Caenorhabditis elegans: one gene and its partners. The protein of the gene in region 1 interacts with the protein of each later gene in a biochemical or structural test. Each region holds a gene or a part of one and is shown in the gene's direction. Other genes may lie near its edges. The genes, in order: flp-18, npr-6, npr-11 and npr-4.

What was found.
Region 2: of the proteins of flp-18 (region 1) and npr-6, one has a biochemical effect on the other in vitro, tested with the Caenorhabditis elegans proteins (one study listed by BioGRID).
Region 3: of the proteins of flp-18 (region 1) and npr-11, one has a biochemical effect on the other in vitro, tested with the Caenorhabditis elegans proteins (one study listed by BioGRID).
Region 4: of the proteins of flp-18 (region 1) and npr-4, one has a biochemical effect on the other in vitro, tested with the Caenorhabditis elegans proteins (3 studies listed by BioGRID, with this or other methods).

The regions. Positions count from the first base shown.
Region 1 is NC_003284.9:3,011,654-3,015,866, reverse strand, and holds flp-18 (SVPGVLRF-amide 3), read left to right. Parts: upstream 1-1,580; 5' UTR 1,581-1,588; coding exon 1,589-1,664; intron 1,665-2,706; coding exon 2,707-2,799; intron 2,800-2,848; coding exon 2,849-2,998; intron 2,999-3,046; coding exon 3,047-3,100; intron 3,101-3,146; coding exon 3,147-3,309; intron 3,310-3,359; coding exon 3,360-3,450; 3' UTR 3,451-3,453; intron 3,454-3,502; 3' UTR 3,503-3,677; downstream 3,678-4,213. UniProt on the Caenorhabditis elegans protein: FMRFamide-like neuropeptides. Ligand to G-protein coupled receptor npr-1. Involved in modulating locomotion quiescence during the sleep-like state called lethargus which occurs during molting between larval and adult stages, acting via npr-1.
Region 2 is NC_003284.9:10,282,286-10,287,610, reverse strand, and holds npr-6 (G-protein coupled receptors family 1 profile domain-containing protein), read left to right. Parts: upstream 1-1,876; 5' UTR 1,877-1,915; coding exon 1,916-1,999; intron 2,000-2,128; coding exon 2,129-2,215; intron 2,216-2,266; coding exon 2,267-2,361; intron 2,362-2,410; coding exon 2,411-2,496; intron 2,497-2,553; coding exon 2,554-2,666; intron 2,667-2,885; coding exon 2,886-3,062; intron 3,063-3,150; coding exon 3,151-3,326; intron 3,327-3,373; coding exon 3,374-3,511; intron 3,512-4,002; coding exon 4,003-4,076; intron 4,077-4,124; coding exon 4,125-4,208; intron 4,209-4,365; coding exon 4,366-4,460; 3' UTR 4,461-4,792; downstream 4,793-5,325. Other genes in the region: slc-9B.1 (Cation/H+ exchanger transmembrane domain-containing protein), read right to left, coding at 5,102-5,233, 5,288-5,325.
Region 3 is NC_003284.9:1,251,276-1,257,488, reverse strand, and holds npr-11 (Putative neuropeptide Y receptor 11), read left to right. Parts: upstream 1-1,841; 5' UTR 1,842-1,873; coding exon 1,874-1,984; intron 1,985-2,098; coding exon 2,099-2,248; intron 2,249-2,303; coding exon 2,304-2,452; intron 2,453-2,503; coding exon 2,504-2,702; intron 2,703-3,105; coding exon 3,106-3,275; intron 3,276-3,923; coding exon 3,924-4,020; intron 4,021-4,069; coding exon 4,070-4,230; intron 4,231-5,319; coding exon 5,320-5,491; 3' UTR 5,492-5,674; downstream 5,675-6,213. UniProt on the Caenorhabditis elegans protein: Could be a receptor for neuropeptide Y and peptide YY.
Region 4 is NC_003284.9:12,548,652-12,553,580, reverse strand, and holds the start of npr-4 (G-protein coupled receptors family 1 profile domain-containing protein), read left to right. Parts: upstream 1-1,903; 5' UTR 1,904-1,941; intron 1,942-1,991; 5' UTR 1,992-2,059; coding exon 2,060-2,124; intron 2,125-4,929.

The DNA.
Region 1 (4,213 bases):
GTCATGAAAAAGTAAAACTTACAACTTTTTACTGAATATTAACCAGTCTCTATAAATATCCCAGCTTAGCCGGAATAGGGTCACGAAAACATGAAAATAAAGCTTGAACCTATTGTTATGATTTTCAATGCCACCTTTTGCAGTTTAATATACACTATTACTACTTCTCAGTTCAAGTTCACTTCTGAGACGGAACCTTTATTTTCTAACTTTCTTTAATCTTACTTTTTATGAGCCGAATGTTCTATTTTGTAAAATGATCAGATACAAGCCCAAAGCTAATTTTGCCAATAAGTGTTAGTAGATCAATTGAATTACAATATAATGACCTGGGCGGAATAGATTTTTGCACTGATTTTTTTCCAAGCTTACTCTATGAATATTCATAGATCATCTTCAAAGGTAGCGTGTGTTGTAGTTGTGTTTTGGCGGGTTCGTGTTATTTGACTCAGCTCAAGTAGATGTTGTAGTCTTCCCTCAATCAACGCGTGGGCTTGACCCTCTTTAAATTGAGTGGAAACCAGCCAATCTATTTGAAATCTACCCCCGAAATGAGATTCGACGATGACACGACGTGTGTGTTACGTGCGCTGAGAATTTAGGAAAAAAAAGATAATCTTCTTTTCGTTAGCTGCGCCACAACCTGTGCAGATAAACTCCGCACAATTGAAGTTCTTACTGGTCCCACCCGATTTATTCAATTGTATTGTGTCTTTTTTTCTTATTTCTCTACAACTCTAACTTTCTTCAACTATTCTCTACATCAGTGCTTTTTTCCACCATGAAAAAAGAAATGACGTCGTTGTTTCTTAGGAGGGGCGGAGCCTCAACTCAATGGTCCGTTCGAATAGATCCCACCCCTCATATAAATAGGACTGAAACCAAAGAAGTTTTTAAATTTTCAGCTTACCGTGTTTCTCAATTTTCAAAATAGTCTTTTTTGTGTCTGAACGGGCTGATCAATTATGTTTTTTTTTGAATGAAAAATCTTCCTCCCAAGCCTTAAAATTCCTTCCAAAGATCGAAAGTTATGTCTATTCAAGTTACTTCTTCTTAGATCAAATATTAAACAAAAAAATACGCCATCATTCTCTCACATTTAGTAATTCAAAATTTCGATTTGTTTTCGAACTTTTGAATTTCCCGCCTAGGAAGTGACATGAGTGAAATCTCATTAGATAAATGTGCCACTCACCGATGACACTATTTTCAAATAAGGGGGGGGGGTGTTTCGAATACCTTGTACACGCGTTTCCGCAAAACCACACACCCCGAGTTCCTCAGCTTCTTCCCCTCGACCCATGAGCCACGTCAAGATGTCAGCGTGTCACTTTTCATTGCTTCACCTTCTACGGTAACGAGAAAAGGCGGGGAATCCAGGATCTGGTGTGACTTCTTCCTTCTTCGTATCTTCCTAAAAATGTTCGTTTACTTTTTAGCGAGTGTCATTTGATGGGATGTCGTTCTTGAGGAAAGAGGCTAGAAGCTTAATACTCTCATATTTCATATTATTGGCATCAAGACGTTTATTATTTAACTACAATAACGATTGCTTTAACAACTAAAAATAATAATTTCAGGGTTAGACATGCAACGGTGGTCGGGCGTTCTTCTCATTTCGCTGTGTTGTTTGCTTCGTGGGGCGCTCGCATATACCGAACCAAGTAAGTTCTTGATGAACGAAACAAAGAAAAGTCTTGGCTGATCCAATCTCTTAATTGGGTTTGAAGGGAGTTTGGATAGCCCCAGATCAGCGTGGAAGATTGAATAAAATGACGGCAATAATTTGTCTTAATGTAATCTTGAATTTTATTTTAAAATTTTTAACTTTGTAGTTTGTCGAAACGTTGGTTTCGCGTACATTAGTTTTTTTTCAAAATTCTGGACCTGACGTAGTTAGCTGAAATAATTTTGCGCGGTGTTCAAACATCGCATCCGTATTGAAACTTCATTAGTTTTTATAAGCTTCTGTGATATTCATTTTCCAGTGAGACCTATGAATAATCTTCGCTGCTTCCCACGGTCCGTGAATCTCTAGACTTGGTGTTATTGTCTTATTGAAAAGTGTTTCCACTGACCTTCAAACTTTCTATAATCTAGAGTGGCCCAATGTATTTTTGGAAGGAAAAACGCTTGGATGAAAACAAGATGTAGCGGGAAAAAAAGGGGGCGCCTATGGATATTGTGGAAAGATAGTGTTGAGTTGGATGCTGAGTTTTTTATTCTTTCTTGTCGGGGCCCGTTGGGACATGTTTCGTTCGATGGTGCTCTGTACCCATCTAGACCAACGCGGGAAGCCAAGTAAAATGACGCTGTCGTTCTGCCAAAGTGATGTATTTCGACGATTTCAATCAACAAGAAACGTGTTTTTTTTCGTTTCTTTTTTCAACAGGGGTGCACAATTGAATTGTGTCGATTTGAAAGCATGAATTTGAAATTTTTGAAAATTCTCGTAAGGTCGATCGAAACACATACATAACTGCAATTAGGAGGAATTTGGACGCTTAGCGTCCGATAGGGGCGCAAACTTTTTTTTCCAAGGGGTAGTTTTTCACGGCGTCCGATAACTTCCGAGTTTGACCACTCACTATACATAATCATATAATTTTATAATGAGTGGCTCAACTCGGAAATTGTCGGACGCCGGACGTCCGATATGGCAGCCCTAAATACAAGACGGCACATTGAAACAACTTATATTTTCAGTCTATGAAATCGTCGAAGAAGACATACCAGCAGAGGATATCGAAGTGACTCGGACCAACGAGAAACAAGACGGTCGGGTATTCTCAAAAAGAGGTACAAAATTCTTCGTACAACTAACCATCAATTTTTTGTCTAATTTCAGACTTTGATGGGGCGATGCCAGGTGTGTTGCGCTTTGGAAAACGTGGAGGTGTTTGGGAAAAAAGAGAAAGCAGTGTGCAGAAAAAAGAAATGCCGGGAGTGCTCCGTTTCGGTAAACGTGCATATTTTGACGAGAAGAAAAGTGTTCCAGGTAAGTAGTTCCTTGTTGGTTTATTGCATACTGAAAATTGACTTTCAGGAGTTCTTCGCTTCGGGAAACGCTCATATTTCGATGAGAAGAAAAGTGTTCCAGGTGGCATCATCATCTATTCTAAATCAAATAACATCTCAGTTTTTAGGCGTTCTTCGTTTCGGAAAACGTGATGTGCCAATGGACAAACGGGAGATCCCAGGAGTGTTGAGATTCGGAAAGAGAGATTACATGGCTGATTCGTTCGACAAGCGCAGTGAAGTGCCCGGAGTTCTCCGTTTCGGAAAACGCGATGTTCCCGGTGTATTGAGGTCCGATCATTTTAAGACTTCATCCAGCTTACCAAGGTTTTTGTTTTCAGATTTGGAAAGCGATCCGACTTGGAAGAGCATTACGCAGGGGTTTTGCTCAAGAAAAGTGTGCCAGGTGTTCTCCGATTCGGACGGAAGTAAATTGTAAGTTTCTAAATAAGATTTTGCCAGTCTGACATGTATCAAGTTTCAGATGAATGTGAATGTAAAATGTGCCAGCGACAATTCGATGATCTCGTTGTTTTTCTTCTTTTCTTCCGAGCGTCTCATTTCAATCACTTAATATTAAGTTTTTGTCTCTTTTCAACAATGATACTAAACGTTGTCAATTCTAGAGCTCCATACGATTAAATGAATCATTTCCTGTTACGTCAAACACAGTTCGTCTAATTTTTGAGTAATGTAGTTGTGTGTCTATCAATTGTTTTCTGAACAATGTTGAAAAGCAGATTTGTTCATGGTTGACGTGTGTTGAAAAGAATAATTACCTCCAACTCTGTGCATTTTAGGAATTGATTCATTGAGCTTTCAAACGATGAAAAAGTATGCTTTGTGTTATGTCAGTTATCAGATTAGATAAGTCTAAACAGAACCCAGTGTGAAATGAGTCTATTCATGAAGCTGCTGAAAATTTGAAGCATGTGTATCAAAATGATTCCAAAAAATTTGAAACGCAGAAAAGTTTTTTGAATTATCAAATAACCAACTTCATGTGCACAGGTAATTTCCGTCCTTAATTCTCTTTCAAGTTTCAGATTTGATTAATTGAATCTGGGATCATGAAGATTTTTTCAAACTGCTTTTCCCAATACACTGATGAATCTAGTACTGTACAATTTTTCTTTCATTTCAGAGAGAGCATCAATATTAAAATTAATTGTAAGCAAGTCAACAAAGTCAACAA
Region 2 (5,325 bases), 7.3 Mb from region 1:
TACAAGTTCACATATATTCAATACGTTTTCAACAAAATTACATACAATCGAAACAATTTCTGATTTTGTTGTTTTTTTCGAACTCTTCCCGAAGATATGAGTGAATAAGTGAAGCTGATCATGGTTTTTGAGGCTTTTTGCTGAAAACATATCATCATCATTTTCGGAGAACACAGAACTCACCAACCAATTTGATTCACTTTAGTTTCGTCGTTCGAATCAAATTTTTATCTGACTAGTAAATATTATGAATTAGAAGAAAAACGTCTGAGTTTTTTGTTCTCGGTCAACTGATTTTTTCTCCAAACCGTGCTCACTTATCTATTTTGATAAATGTGACGTTTCATTAAAATTTTCGTTGTGTCATCAAGTATACTCCTTGAGCTAAAATTTATATTAATTTTCGATTTATTCTGATTTCTGTTTTCAAAAATGTTTTCCTACGCTCATTATCCAATTTCTATCCTTTGCCTTACAATTTTGAGCTGTATTTGGTTGTCTCAGTTTCACCAAAGCTTATCCGCCCTCTCAGAATTGTTTACTTTAGTTCATGTGCAACGTTTCTCCTTTTCCACCTCAAGGAGTGCTTCAGTTTTTCTCGACTTTTTTCTGGTGCCCCTCATCGCCCGGTCGAAATTCAATTTCCGCGGTATTGGAGTCGGATTTCCAGACGAAAAATAGAGAATAGACGGATGAACCCTATACATAGACAGGGCAAGGGCAAAGACGAAACTATCAAAAGGAAATGTTCTAAAAAAGGTCACCTACTATGCGAGTCCTTTTTTTTGCAACAATGAGAGCTTTATCAATCAAGATAATAACATTATCCTTGGTTCGTAGTAGCCTACATCTCATGAATGTTTCACATCCCACCATTTAGAGAGATTAAATCCATTGGCTCCTTACATTATCTTTTTTCTATTTCTTCTCCACGTCCATATTTCATTTCTGATTTTCAATTGAAACCAAATAATTTGAATCTAGCTTGTTGAACTTACGTAAGCGTCTTCTTCTTCGAATTTCGACCCTTTCTTTCTGTTTTTTATAGGAAATTCAAAATTCGCTTCATCGAAGATGAATTCATAACATAAATCAAAGGACTCTCGATTCGCTTTGTGCGTTTGCGTACCAGTTTTTAGGCAAATTTTAAATAAATGAGTATGTAGTTTGTTTAACGTAAAGGGAAAAAAGAAGGGTCTCAGCTTATTTCGAAAAAGAGAAAATTTCTCACATGTATATGGATTCTTTCCCTTTTAAAAGTTCACGACGCCTCCTCTTTTCTCACTTTGAGATTCACTTTTCGCGTCTAGAATTGCAAGTCTCACACAGAAAGTGAGAAAATAAGAAAATGAGGGAAGTGTTTGGCTCATGTTCTCTTTTTTATTTGATTGACAAGAAGAATTGAAAACAAACAATTTTTAAAAAATCATTGAAAACTTTGGGTTCTATTGAATCTGTTTAATAGTGTATTATTAATATTGTAATTTTTATTGATTTTTTTTTTCAAAAATCATGACATCAGTTTTGTATTATATGAACTATGTAGATTTCTAGTTTAGATGTGGTCGCTCTTCTAGTGTCAATTGCAAAGATGCGAATATCATTAAATTTTCATAACTGACTTAACATATTCTCAATTTTATATTCTTTTGGGAGCTTTAAATTTGAAAATACTTCTAACATCTTTTGCTCTATGAAACGTGTCAAATCTCGTTTTTTCTCCTTAAAATCAAGTTCATTTCCGACTCTTCCACCGCGCCCACGTCAGAATATTATGAACTTAAAGAGGTCTAAACGAGACACATCGCAACCAAACATATCCAGTTCACAATTCTTAAAATGTACTCGATTTATCTCCCGATTCTAATATTTTCAGCTCTTCGTTTATCCCAATTTCTGATAATATTTGATTCAGATGTCGAATGATCTCGTGCCTTCAGTGTCTTCTATACTAAATGAAACAACACCTTCATATCAAAGTACATGTAAAATCAAAAACGTAAGTTTTCGTGTCCAAAATTGTTCGTGAACGTTTGAAAAAAAATCAAAAATGTTCATTGAAACTATTTGATTATGAATTATTTTAACTGAAGCCGAGTAATTTTTATTTTAAAAAAACACGTTTCAGAACCCCATGGAAATGGAATATTTCCGCCCATTCTTTATTTCTATGTATTGTGCTGTTTTTTTGGTTGCTAGTTCCGGTAATTTTTTGGTAAGTAATATCATTTTCGATTTCTCCAGTTTTCCAACAACTGTGTTTAAGGTGGTGTACGTTGTGATGACGAACAAGCGAATGCAGACGATCACCAACATTTTTATTACAAATCTCGCAGTTTCTGATATAATGGTTAACTTTACGTGGGTTTTTTTTGAAATCGGAAGTGATATATCCGGTTCTTATATTCAGATCGTTGTGGCTTACACCAACATACACCTCAATAGGACATTGGATATTCGGAGGTGGATTGTGTCATGGTTTACCCCTGTTCCAAGGTATTGGTTTACATATAGACGGGAAGTTAAGCAGTGATCAAGCATCTAACTATACAGGTACAAGTATCTTCATCAGTACGTGGACACTTACGGCTATAGCCATAGATCGATACATAGTGATCGTGCACAACTCATCAAATATCAATATAAATGATAGAATGTCCATGAGAGTAAGTTGAGCAGGAACAATGTATCAATAAAAAACCTAACTCCAAAAAACCAAAACTCTCATTTCTTAGTCTATAGAAAGGTGTTTTTGAAGTACAGTTAACAAAGTAACCTCCATGAAAATAATAGTTTTTCCTGTTTTCGGTGTAGAACAACTTTGTAATTGGAAAAAATTCTAATTTTTAAAATTTTTTTGAAACTTTCGTACATACCAAATTCAGTCTTGCCTTTCGTTCATTGTCCTCATTTGGCTATGCTCATTGCTTCTGGTCACTCCGTATGCCATCAACATGAAGCTCAACTACATTCATGAACCATGTGATTTTCTGATATGTAGTGAGGACTGGAGCAATGCCGAATTTCGATCTATTTTTGGAATTGTGGTGATGATTCTTCAAGTGAGTTGGGGACAATGAAATTATTTGTATAAATTACCGGGGGATTATATATACATATATCTATGCCTATGCACAAATCAATTTTCAGTTCATTTTGCCATTTGTACTCATTGCCATTAGTTACATAAAAATATGGTTGTTCCTAAATAGCCGTCAAAGTATGACCGAGAGAAAATCCGATATCAAGCGCAAAAAGCGTTTACTACGGATGTTGATTGTCATGGTGGTCATCTTCGCAATTTGCTGGTTCCCATTCAACCTCTTGTTAGTTTAGAAGTGAATAATATGTCATATATTTGAAATAAATTCAGAAACTGTCTCCGAGATCTCAAGTTGGATAATTTCATGCGTGGCTACTTCAGTTTTGTTTTCCTTTCCGTGCATTTGATGAGTATGACAGCTACCGCCTGGAATCCAATCCTCTACGCATTCATGAATGAGACCTTCCGGTGGGTTTATGGGATTTGCATTTCGCCGCCGTCTGGTCGAAAACCCGTTTTAAACAATACAGACAACAATTGATAATCATTAGTGACTCAACGATTTATTGGAAAATAAATTGCAGTTAAAAGATTACGAGGGGTTGTTTTCTTCTCGTTCAGGTTGAAAATACAAGTTATAAAATTTGATACGTAAACATGTGCTAGAAAATACAATTGATAAAAAGTCAAGAAGTTTTATCTTAGACTGCATTTGTGTGTTCAGTTCTCATTTATTTTATTAAAAATTTATTTTTTATAAATACTCAATAAAATTTCCTCTCGTGACACTGTTTCTTCTTATAATTAGAAACAGATTAAACTAAAAAAAAAGACACTTTTTGGTAAATTTAGGATTATTTAAAAAATTTGCACAGTTCAAAATTCAATTAAATTCAATTAAATTAAATTCAATAAATTGAATTATTTAATTTTCATTTTCTTGCAATGCTCATTTTCAGTGAGGAGTTCGCAAAAGTTGTTCCCTGCTTGTTTGCGCGTCGTCCTGGAACTGGTCCAATTCGCGTCATCACTGGTAAAACCTGATAAATTTGAAGTTATTTTTGCTTAGCTTTTTTTTTAGAACGCACCGCTATGATAACTAACCCGTTTCGACGTGCAAACCGAAAAAAAAAAGTGGAGGAACAGCCTGTTACGGTGATTTCTGGTGAGTTTTACTTTTATGTTGTTTGATCCTTAGTTATTCTTCGTTAAGAACTTTTACACCCGACATCCAACGAAGAATAGGAAGCCATTCATTCCCTGCATGCACTCGTTGTCAGTGAACTTTTCAACAAACCAGCAATCTTTAGAAACAGATTCAGAGAGTCCACTTCAAACTGCAGTGGAGCCGCAGCGCAGTATCGTGTATCTCGATGAGCCTGAGAACGGATCAAGTTGTCAGACGCTTCTGCTTTAAGCCGCTCAATACAAAACCGGAAAGTCAGAACAAAAGTCGCTTTTAGTCATGTCACTTGCCAGTACATTTATCCGCTTTCCACTTGCCTTCATATGTAATTTTCATAAAAACACTTATTCAACATTTTATTTTTTTGGTCATATTGTTTTTCTTTCCTAAGATTTTTTCAGCTAAATCTCTGATCAAACCTGTCCTGATCTAAACTATGTGGTTATACTTAACTTATGCACTGCTGTATTTGCACAAATCTTGCTTGATGCTGATTTATCTTTTGTTTCTTCTTCTTGTCACATTTTGATAAAATATTTGTAAATGAAATTTCATATTGGTTACAAAAAATTGGTTCAACTGGTGTGGTTGATAAGATCAGATATGGTTCAAGTAAGAAGGGTATAACAGAATCATGACGAAATTTCAGAATGACATATTTAAAAACATGCTGGAACGGGAAATTGGTAGATGTGGATAAGTAAAATAAATCGAATTGGAAAATTGGTGAAATGTCTTTTCCTGGTTATGGTCATTTAAATTGAATTTGAATTGACTTGATAATAATATTATAAATATGGGAAATTAGGAATTATTTTGTTTTTTTTTTCAGAGGAAAATTGTAATAAAATCTAAAAAGTTTGGGTAAATTTTTAATATCTTTCGATAACAGCTTCACTGCGGTATTCCGAATATGTCTTCGGACGGGCGGCATAGATGGTTTCATCAACATGATCACCATTCATATAGGTTTTGTCAAAATTTTTCTCAATTGCCGGCGCATCCTGAATGAAAATTTGTTTCACATTGCATTTCAAAAATGGGAGTGAGAACGCTACCTGTGGATTGTATTGAGAGAGACATTTAGATCCAACAA
Region 3 (6,213 bases), 1.8 Mb from region 1:
CTGAAAATTTGCTTTTTTTAGATTCAATTTGACATGAAACTACCGAATTTTGTACTGAAAGGTTTTGAAATTTATTCGAAAAACATGAAATGGTGGTGTAAAATTTTGGAAAAAAAAGTTGTATCTTAGCCAAAATTAAAATTTTTTCAATTAAATAAAATCAGAACTTGAATAAGTAAGTTTCATTTAATTATTACCCTTTATGAAAATTTACTATAAAATCCAAAATTTTGATAAAATAATTGTTATTTAGTTTTGCTTAAAATTTTCTCAAAACAAAGTTAAGTTGGATCAAAGTTTTGGAAAAATCCGATTTTGCAGTAGATTAGATTGATTTTTTTTTAACTAAAATCAAAAAATCAAACATTTTCTTGTTTGGTTTTTGATTAAAAATTATAATTTTATCGTTAATTTTCTGTAAACTTTTATACAAAATTAACGATTTAATTGTTCAAAAAAATGGAAAAATTTTTCGATTTTCCGATTTTCCCTTTAAAAAATTGAAGAAAATCGGAATTTTTTACTTCAGATTTTCAAAAAACAAACATTTTAATTTATCGATTTTTCGAAAGTTTCCCTGTAAAAATCAAAAAATCGAAAAAATGTGTCGCAGGGGGTGATAATTTAATGAACCTTATTTCTTCAAGTTGGGACTTTTTTAATTGGCAAAATTGTGAAAAAACGAGATTTTAGCTCAAAAAACCCCTCATTTCTACAATTGTTTTTCGGAAAAAAAAATTTTCGAAAATTTTTGGTCTGAAAAATGGAAAGTCTCAAGGTCTCAGATTTTGGAACTCCACCTTTAAAAACACACAAAGTTCTGTTTTCTGATACCAGTTTTCTTTTGTTGATGTTGTTGTTGTGTTTCACTTCTCCATTTCATATCCGGCCCGTTCCTGCATTTCCGATGTTTATGGATATCCACCACAAGATGGCAGAGAGAAATGTTTAAAAAAACCGACCTGGGTGGCCGAAATAAATGGCGGTTGAAAAGACGAGTTCCGTCAAAACAAAGTCATATAAATTTTTTATTCTTGTGGTGATGCTACTAGTTTGGTTTAATCGTATTTGGTTGTCTCTGGTGAGCTCATTCACCGCTTCTTTTGTTTTTTCAAAATTATTTTTCATGAACTGCTCCCACACATTTATTAATTTTTGCTATTTCCTATAGCTTTTGACTGTTTGCGAGATTCTTTCGAATTTGGTGCAATTCTTAACAGTAAACCAAAAATTATGGTCATTGCAATGGAGATGTGGTCAGTGCAACTGATAAAGTCAATCAAAATTTTTGTCAGTGCAAATGATATAGTGGTCAGTGCAACTGAAAATTTTGTCAGTGCAATTGGCATATATGATAGCCATTGGATAAAGTCATTCGAAGTTTTGGTCAGTGCAACTAAACATCTTGTCAGTGCAAGTTGTGTATTTTTAGGCAGCATAACATAGATGATTGTGGCTGGTAAAATTGAAAAAATATTATTAAAAAAAAAAACTAAGTTATTCCTGAAATTCGGTGCACATATTGCTCCCAAACCCCTGTCTTTCAACGTTATTGTTTTTATAAAGTTTCAATTTAAAAGGGATATGGGAGTAGACACCGGGGCGGGAGAATGAGTTAAATGAGATGATAGTTTTCACTTTTCAATTTTCATTTCTTCTCTATAATTCGCAGTAATTACCTCTCATTTTTTGATATTTTTCTCTTATAACCGACCGACTAACCACTAGTCTGGATGCTCAATTTCTTGGAATATTCGTTTATTTATTTCCCTTCTGTGTGAGAAAATTGGCGTTTCACATATTTTTTTTCTTGCCTTCAATTTCATCTCCCGTATTTTTGTATTTTCGTCGGTATTTTCAGAACTTTCAACAAATGGGATCGGTGAATGAATCATGTGACAATTATGTAGAAATTTTCAACAAAATCAACTACTTTTTTCGAGATGATCAGGTTATCAATGGGACTGAGTATTCACCAAAAGAGGTTGGTATTCAAAAAGACAATTTTTTTAAATTTTGTCAGTGCAAATCAAAACTTTGTCAGTGCAAATTTAAAAATGGTCAGTGCTTACTCAAAACTTAACATTCAAATTTTCAGTTCGGATATTTCATCACATTCGCATACATGCTGATCATTTTGTTTGGAGCAATAGGCAACTTTTTGACAATCATCGTAGTCATACTCAACCCAGCAATGCGGACAACAAGGAACTTTTTCATTTTAAACTTGGCGCTGTCGGACTTTTTTGTGAGTATTTTTTGCTGGAATTATTGAAGATAGGAAACAATTTGAAAAATTCCAGGTTTGTATTGTGACAGCGCCGACCACATTATACACGGTTCTCTACATGTTCTGGCCATTTAGCAGGACATTATGCAAAATTGCGGGTTCGCTGCAAGGCTTTAACATATTTTTATCCACATTCTCGATAGCCTCAATTGCTGTTGATAGGTATGTACATATATTTTTTTTAATTAAAAATGCCATTTAACAAGTTTTCAGATACGTGCTCATTATCTTCCCAACGAAGCGAGAACGACAACAAAATCTGTCGTTCTGCTTTTTTATCATGATCTGGGTGATTTCCCTAATCCTTGCGGTTCCACTTCTGCAGGCTTCTGATTTGACACCGGTTTTCGTTGAGCCATCGTGCGATTTGGCTCTTTACATTTGCCATGAGCAAAATGAGATATGGGAAAAGGTTGGTTCTTAGTGGTCTAAATGAACTATAAACTAAACAATAAGCTTCATGTATCAGCTCCTATTAATGAAATATAAAAACTGTCTATGTACTGTAGTATTACTGTAATAATTAGGTTAATATGGTGTGACGATAGTCAAGGGAACTTGCTTAATACTTTCTATGGAAATTTGCTTTGAGTAATAGAAAATGTGTCATAATTTCCAAATACATAAAAGAGTTGAAAAAAAATTTAAAAAAATTGTTCCGATTTTTTAAAATTTTCAAATAAAATTTCAAATGACTTTTTAAAGTTTTCAGTTTTCTGAAAACATGTTAACTGGTATTATATTAACCAGTATGTATGGAAATATAAAAACAAATATAAAAAAAGACAATTTCGGCTAAACTCCAATTTTTCCAGATGATCATATCAAAAGGCACCTACACGTTGGCAGTTCTTATCACCCAATACGCATTTCCCCTGTTTTCACTAGTCTTCGCCTACTCCCGGATAGCACATCGGATGAAGCTGAGATTTGCAAACCGAAATCAGAATGTGACAACAAATACCAATACGAGTCAGAGGAGACGGTAAGAAATTTTTGAAATGTTTTTGTTTCGAAAAATGTAAAGTTCCACGTTTTAAGTGGCATTCGAAATTTTTGAAACACTGTTCTAACAGAACTTTTCTGAGAAAATCTGACCCACCTGGGCCGAATACCACAATTTAAAAATTGAAACAATTTTCTAAATTTGATGTAATTTTTTTTGAAAATTGGGAAAATCTCTATTTGTGCAAAAAAAATAAATAGCCCAATAAAAATTTTTAGAGCATTTTTTGAAATGTTTTACTATGATATTTGACACCATAGGAGTTGTTTTTATCAATTTACCCATTTGGGCTATTCCACCTTTACTACTGTGAAACTTCGAGAAAAATGTGCTCAAAATTTGTTATTTTATCTGCGGTCATAAAATTTTCAAAAAATGTTAGTAAAAAACTTTAATTTTTTGTAAAAAAATCATGTGAATGAACTTATACTAAACTGATATCTACAACATTTTGAAATTAACCCAATCACCCAATTTCAAGTTATTTTTGAAACTTTCGGATCATTACTTGCCTGGAGAACTAAATTTTGAGCTTATTCAAAAATCAAACAACTTAAAATTTTTCACATAATTTATTGTACAAAATAGATGTTCTTCGAAATAAAATTATTTTAAAAAAAGTTCCAGATCCGTCGTGGAACGTCAACGACGCACCCACCTCCTTCTTGTATGCGTTGTAGCTGTATTCGCCGTCGCCTGGCTGCCACTCAACGTTTTTCATATCGTAGGAGCATTTTCGTTTTATGTTCCACTAAAACCATAACAAATTTCAGTTCAACACATTCGAGCTGGTCAACAGTTTTTCCGTTACAACGTTCAGCATCTGTCACTGCTTGGCAATGTGCTCGGCGTGCTTGAATCCGCTGATCTATGCATTTTTCAATCATAACTTCCGGATCGAATTTATGCATCTTTTCGATAGAGTTGGGTTGAGGTTTGTGAACATTTTAAGTTAATTTTGGTAACACTTATGTGTAAAGTTGGTGGAAAATTTTTGCAATTTTGTCATTTTGCACAAAAACGTCCAGTACCAGGTCCCGTCACGATACATTTTTGTTAAATACAAAAGTATGTGCGCCTTTGAGGAAGGAGTACTGTAATTTTCAAACTTTATTATCGCTAAAATTTCATGAATTTTTCATAGACATACGGTTTTCTCAAATTTTCAATTATTAATTTGATGATTTTTTTTTTCGTAAAATTAGTTGATAAAAACAATGAGTTGTAAACTACAGTACTCTTTAAAGGCTCACCTTCCAATTTTTGAAAAAAAATTGCCGTGTTAAGACCCTGCCGGCAGGTGGTCTAAACACAGTGGGGCTATTACACTGTGGAAAACCTTTCCTCAAGAGTTATATAAATATAATAGGAACTACCAAGGTACTGTAATAGTTTGGTAGAAGAACTGTTGCGGTGTGTGGCCTGGTTTACAGCTTTTGTATCAAAGTCGTGATACACCCAGAAAATAAAAGCGATCTACCAATTAAGCGCCCTAAGTTGACACGCATAATAAAGAGGTCCTTTATTATGGGAACATAAAATTTTGAGAATGCGTATTGCACAACATATTTGACGCGCAAAATATCTCGTAGCGAAAACTACAGTAATTCTTTAAATGACTACTGTAGTGCTTGTGTCGATTTACGGGCTCAATTTTTGAAGTGATTTTCTTTTTGAATAGGGACATCAATATTCCATTTTTTTTCGTTTTTGTTATATTTTCCTCCTTAATTTATATATTATATTGATAAACAAATGATTTTAATTCAATTTGAGAATCAAGCTCCTAAATCGACCTACAGTAGCCATTTAAATAATTACTGTAGTTTTCGCTGCGAGATATTTTGCGCGTCAAATATGTTGTGCAGTACGCATTCTCACAATTTTGTGTTCCCGTAATACCATTGATCTACAAAAATTGCGGAGATTAGGCTCACGGAATAATGAGTAAATTTGAAGAAAATTATAGATGGTTGTACTGTAGAAAAATCTGAAAATTCAAAAAAATATCGCAATATTCCAGATCCCTTCGAGTCGTGATATTTGGAGAGCAAGAGTCGCTCAAGAAAAGTATGCGCACTGAATTCAGAAGCCGTGGAGGCTGTAAGACGGTAACTACTGCAGAGCCAGCAACCTTCCAGAGAATGAATGAAAGTATGATTCTGAGTGCGATGGAGCAAGATGAGCAGCTGTGATTGTTTAAGAAAACATGTAGGGTAACAATAAATCATTCCGTCATTGTTTCAAAACGCTTCTAAAACCTAATTTATTTGATTTTGATGTTCTTTTTTTTTACTTTTTTTTTCGTTTCCGTCAGTATGTTGCTGATTCAGCCTATTATGTTTCACATATGAAGATTTGTAAATGAAGCTTGTCATAAGAGAGATGATTGGTCAAATTTGAGAGAAGTGACCGAAGATTAGGGAGGGGACTGACTGAAATGCGCAGTCATGCGGAAAATTTAGGGTATTTTTGAGTTGAACAACCATATTGTTCGGCAGCTTTTCAAAACAAATGGCGTCATGGATATGGAAGTTTTTGGTTCTTCGTTTCGAGACAGGAAAGTGAATTTTAATGAACTACTCATCGGAAACTGGTCAAAAAAGCTTGTTTTTTTTAAGGGAGGGGGGATTTGATGTAAGAATGATAACAAAAATCTTTTGGGACAAAAGTATATACTCACGTGGAGTCAGAATATCTCATTTCGGTTTGATCTTCAAAAAATGCGGGAGTTGAGACGCAGACATCTCAATTGATTTTGCATGGTTAAAAGTGTGCTGACGTCACAATTTTTGCAAAAATATTCCCGCATTTTTTGTAGATCAACCTGTGATGAGACAGCCTGACGCCACGTGTATACTGTGTACACTAAAAAATGCAAACGCTACGTTTGAGTATTATATGCAAATGTAATTTT
Region 4 (4,929 bases), 9.5 Mb from region 1:
TTTAAATAAATGCACAATGTTTTTTTCGTTTTGCAGAAGACACATGAACTTCAAAAAAATTAAAAATTAATGTATCCTCTAAGGCAAGTAAGTTGACTCTAAAGTAAGTGAGGCACAAAGCACGCAAATTTTGATGAATTTATGGGAATTTGTGTTACCAAACGTAACCCGCAGTGTAACTTAGCCGAAATTTTTTTGCCGGAACACTTTCAGTTTTTGCAAAAAAATCAATCTCAAGTTACGATTGGAAAGTTTTTTAAACGAACAATTTTTGAAATTTTCGATGAGCTTTTTATCAAATCACAGCTGAAACAAAGCGGACTTTGTGAAGATTCATGTTTTTATTTATTAATGTAATACATACGAAAAAAAAAACAAAATTATAAATATCTGTGCAACAAGCCCACAAACTTTTCACTGACTTTGTTGTTTTTATGGATAATTCCAGTGTTTCTTACTAATTTATAAACGCTGATAAATAGTTATGTATTTTGAAAGCAGTCTCTGAAAAAAAACACGATATTAAATCAAAAAAATTTTACAAAAAAGCAAAAAGATTTGATATACATAACATTGTAACAGAATTTACGGCCTTTCCAACAAAACAAGTTTCTGTTGTCTTATAAAAATTATTCCAAAGATCTGGGAAAGTTCATTCAATATCCCCAGCGCTCATTACCATTTTCTTACGCATCGCACTTGGTCTCCGAACCTTCATTGCATTCACCTGAATCTTAGATAGCAAATGACGAAATCAGCCCAATCCTCCAATCATCCAATCGCAGACTTGAATAATCAACGCAACATTTGCACATCCTTAGAGGTCATCCCCGCATGACTCTATCATCCTTTTCTCCGAACCTTTTTTCCTCCGCTCTCCGCCCTCCATTCTTCTTTTTCCTGGCTTCAATCCCTTTTTTTACAACCAAATGGACCCTCTAAGACAATTGAGCAACGCCTGCGGAAGAAGGGCAAGCCAATCTGCAGTCGGTTGGTCCTTTTTTATTATTTACCTTACACTTGTTTCCGTTTTAATTGTTGCGATCTTTGTACAAGAAGAAAATCATGTTGGTTTTTGATGAAGTGAGTTCGGAGTTCGAATTGTTCTTTCAACTCCAAAAATCGAAGCACTTTTGTTTTATATTTTCGGTTTCACAGTATAACAAAAATTTGTTTGTAGAGTCATGTTTAGATTAGTATATAAAAATGTTAAATTCCACAAATTTGATTGAAAAACAAAAGTAGTGATTATTGTTTGTGTATTTCTCGAAACTTATTTTTCCAATTGTAAGGAAATATGAAATCAACTAATTCTATGGATAACATATAATTTAGTTTTAATTTGAAAAATAAAATAATGTTGTAGAACTTTAATGTAGTACACATTGAAAAAAAATAGGTTTGGCGGTAAAGCTTTCTAGTTCACCCATCTTCAAGTAATGCAAAATTGAAGTTTTCTTACCTGTTCTAGTTGGTTTTGAAATTCTCCTTAAACAAATTAAAGATAATTTTATTCAATTAAAAAATATTTTCCAGTATTTGACTTTTCACCAAAGTTAAAACAACTTGAAAAAAAGTTCAAGGTGTTTTCACATGTTCTAGTCTAGACTAGTTTCTTCAAAAGTGAAAAGACTTACAAAGGCAAAAATCCTTTGTCATTGTAATCCTCCGCCATAAAATTTTGTTTGTTTTTTTCTAAGAATCTGAAAATTAACTTTTCCGCCTGTCTTGCTCCATTTTTCTCATTCCAACTCGATTAGTTTATTGCATTAGTGCAGAATGTACAAACGTTTCTGAAAACAAACGCTTTTGGTGCCAGATGTTGAGGATAATATTAATCTTTTCTCACAATTTCTTCTTGTCCATTCTTTCTTTGAATTTATCTAAATACAATTTGTTTCAGCCCAGCTTGCCTTGGCACCAGGCTCTCATTTAATCACGGTAAGCCTCTCGGTCACTGTAAACTATATAACCAATCGTTTGATTTTCAGATATCAACACAAAGTTTACGGAGAATTGCAACTGAAAAGTTGTTAGGTGAAGACACATATACAGAACAATGTTACTGGAAATTGGCACAATAACAATCGGGAATATAACCCGAGCAAGAAAGTTTGGAGAAAGGTAAGTTCCTGAAAATGGAAAATGGGTCCCCCTCCGCATTTCAAATGAGGTGTCTATTAGTTTCTGGGAAAGTTGAAAGAGAAACCCTCCCACAACTCAAGTGTTAAAGTTCTAAGCCCAAATTCAGACACTTGTGAATATTAGATTATTGCCTATTTTGACGAGCTATGGTAAAAAAAACAACACTAATTTCGAGTGAAAACTCCAAAATTGTGGTGCACTTGTCACACCATCACTCATTCTCTGACAAATCTCGATTGTGTTTTTGAGCCAACCAGCTCTTATTCGTCGCCGTCAAAACTTTCTTAAATTGAAATCACATCTCGAAACCTTCTTCCGTTTTGCATAAAATTGAATTTAGTTCAACAAGTTTAAAATGCCACCCCTTTTCTAGAAAACAAATGATGACGTTTTCCACGTTTCTCAGTTGAGAACGAGTCATGCGACTTTCAATTGGTGAAGTTCTTTTTTTTTTCTTCTGAATTGGTGTTTTTCCATTACCAAAAAAAAAAGGGTTTTTGATCTTTAGATCAACATTCTCAATTTTTCGGTGCCAATCAAGATTCTTGGTGCATTGCGTTAGACAATACTGAATTGCAGCTAATCATGTAAAACAAGAAACAAATCATTGGCAAAATTGAGAAATTGTACCCAGTAAAACTAAAAAATATGGATCAAAGGGTGGTGTGAGTTTGTTGGGTGTTTTTCGCAGATCAATGGCAATTCGTTTGTGATTTTGAAAAAAATCGCTACAATTGTGAACATTGCTCTTTTTGACTTTTTGCTAACGATTTTACAATAGCTCAAATGTTGAACTTTTACTTTTCAAGATTCTTATAGTAAGACTTTTCTTGAACGATTTAATCTAGATTTTTTGGATCCAAAAACAGTATTCCTCTTACTCGTTGTACTTTTTGGCACTTCATTCTCCTACGGACCAACCACTTCATCTTTGCAACTTTTCGCTGACCTAAGATAATCAAATTCCTTAGAAGGAAGGAAAACTTTGAAACTTTCTCCCGCTCTCTCGAGTTTTTTATACCACCCACCTATAGTTCCTCTCTGTCTCTCTCTCCGTACTCATTTCATTAATGACGTTTTAAAATAGAGCCGCTAAAGAATTGATCTTATATATTAGGAGAGAAACGCATAGTGTTCGATCTTTGATGCTCAAAGCTCAAAATGTTAAAAATGCCAGCATGGTGTTATTATAATGTATCTGAAATACAAAATTAGAAGGTATCTGCAGAAATGCTGACGTGAAATGTGGGAAGGGGAAAGAGGAAAAAAGTTTTTACGATTGGTTGTGAGTAGGCGGAAAGATATGTTGTACAGCCAGTGGGGACATGATTAAAACCGTTTAATATTGCAAAAATGATAAAATATTATGATAAACTTTTCAAAAGCTATTGAAATTTTTTTTTACTCCGAGTCAAGATTTCAAAAATTTCATTTTGATATTTGGTAATTTTAGCACCACTATTGTAATGGTTTTCAATTATTTTTCACCTACCGTACTACAGCTTTAAGATTGTCACAGCACTCCGCTTTTTCTTTTGTTTCCTTTGAACCTGCTGAAGAACATGATTTTTTTTCCAAAATCTTTAATAATTTGCAATATTACCGTATACATATTTCCTGGTTGTTACGGACCTCAAAAATAATTTTCAGTTTATATAATTGTGATGTGCTTTTGTTTTGAAAACACCACATTGTCTAGCCCATTTGCTTTTTTTAAATGAATTTTTTATGAATTATGAAAACTACTTCCACTTAAAAAATCAGTGGTTCTGGGAAAATAACCATTTATTTCATTCCGTCTTCTTGTTTTTTTGACCGCGATGAACAAATACAAAATGAGAACATTAAAAGAAAACCAAAGTCACGAGACAACGTAGGCACCCAATTGTCTCGTAATTTATGAAAACACCAGTCACCAACCTAGAAGTACACCTTTTAGCCGGTCCCGATGAGGAAAACAATGAACAAAGGTTGAAGTTTTGCTATATGCATGTTTGACGCAGTCTGGCTTGTCCGGAACAAGATGTGCAATAGATTCGAGCTTTTGCGAATATTTTGGAAGAAATAGTAAATGGCCCGATATATCTAGATGAGACTTGGACGGAGGAGTAAAGTGGAAATTCGTTTACTTCATTCTATTTTGTGCTTAAAGAAGATATTTATCTGAGAAGCGTTGGGAAATGCATTTAACGGAAAAAGCCTTTCACATTCAAATTTTAATTTTCGATTCCTTGGCCAAGTTCATGTTGCGCTGCGATAGGCTTAGTATAATATTTTCGGAAGTTATTTGCATGTTCAGCAGATTGCGTCACAAATGCCATTTGTCCGATCAATTGAGCTTATTTTTATGTTACTATTTGGGAGGGTTGAGTAAGAAAATGCTAACTAACATCGTTTTTTGTCTTTTGAGATTTGAGAAATTTCTTATTTGCTTTCTCATCATTCTTTGTATTCTCAAAAATGAATGTGAACCTTGGAAAACGCTTGTAAGTTTTTTTTGATTCTTGAAGAGTTGAAACTGGGCAATTTTTCAAATTTATAGTAACTCGCAATGTTTTGAGAAATTTTCAATTTTCGGTTCTTTTTGAATATTACACATTCTACGTATTAGTTTCAATTTTCAAAATTGTTTAAAACGTTCATAATACACATTTCTCCCTAGAAAGAATGTTTAATTATTTTGTAAAGGTTCTCCCCAATTGATCACAAAAACATGTTGCGCATTCTGCTCAACTTGAATGCTTGTATCAATTATGAATGATGGTTTAATTTGAGTATTCACGC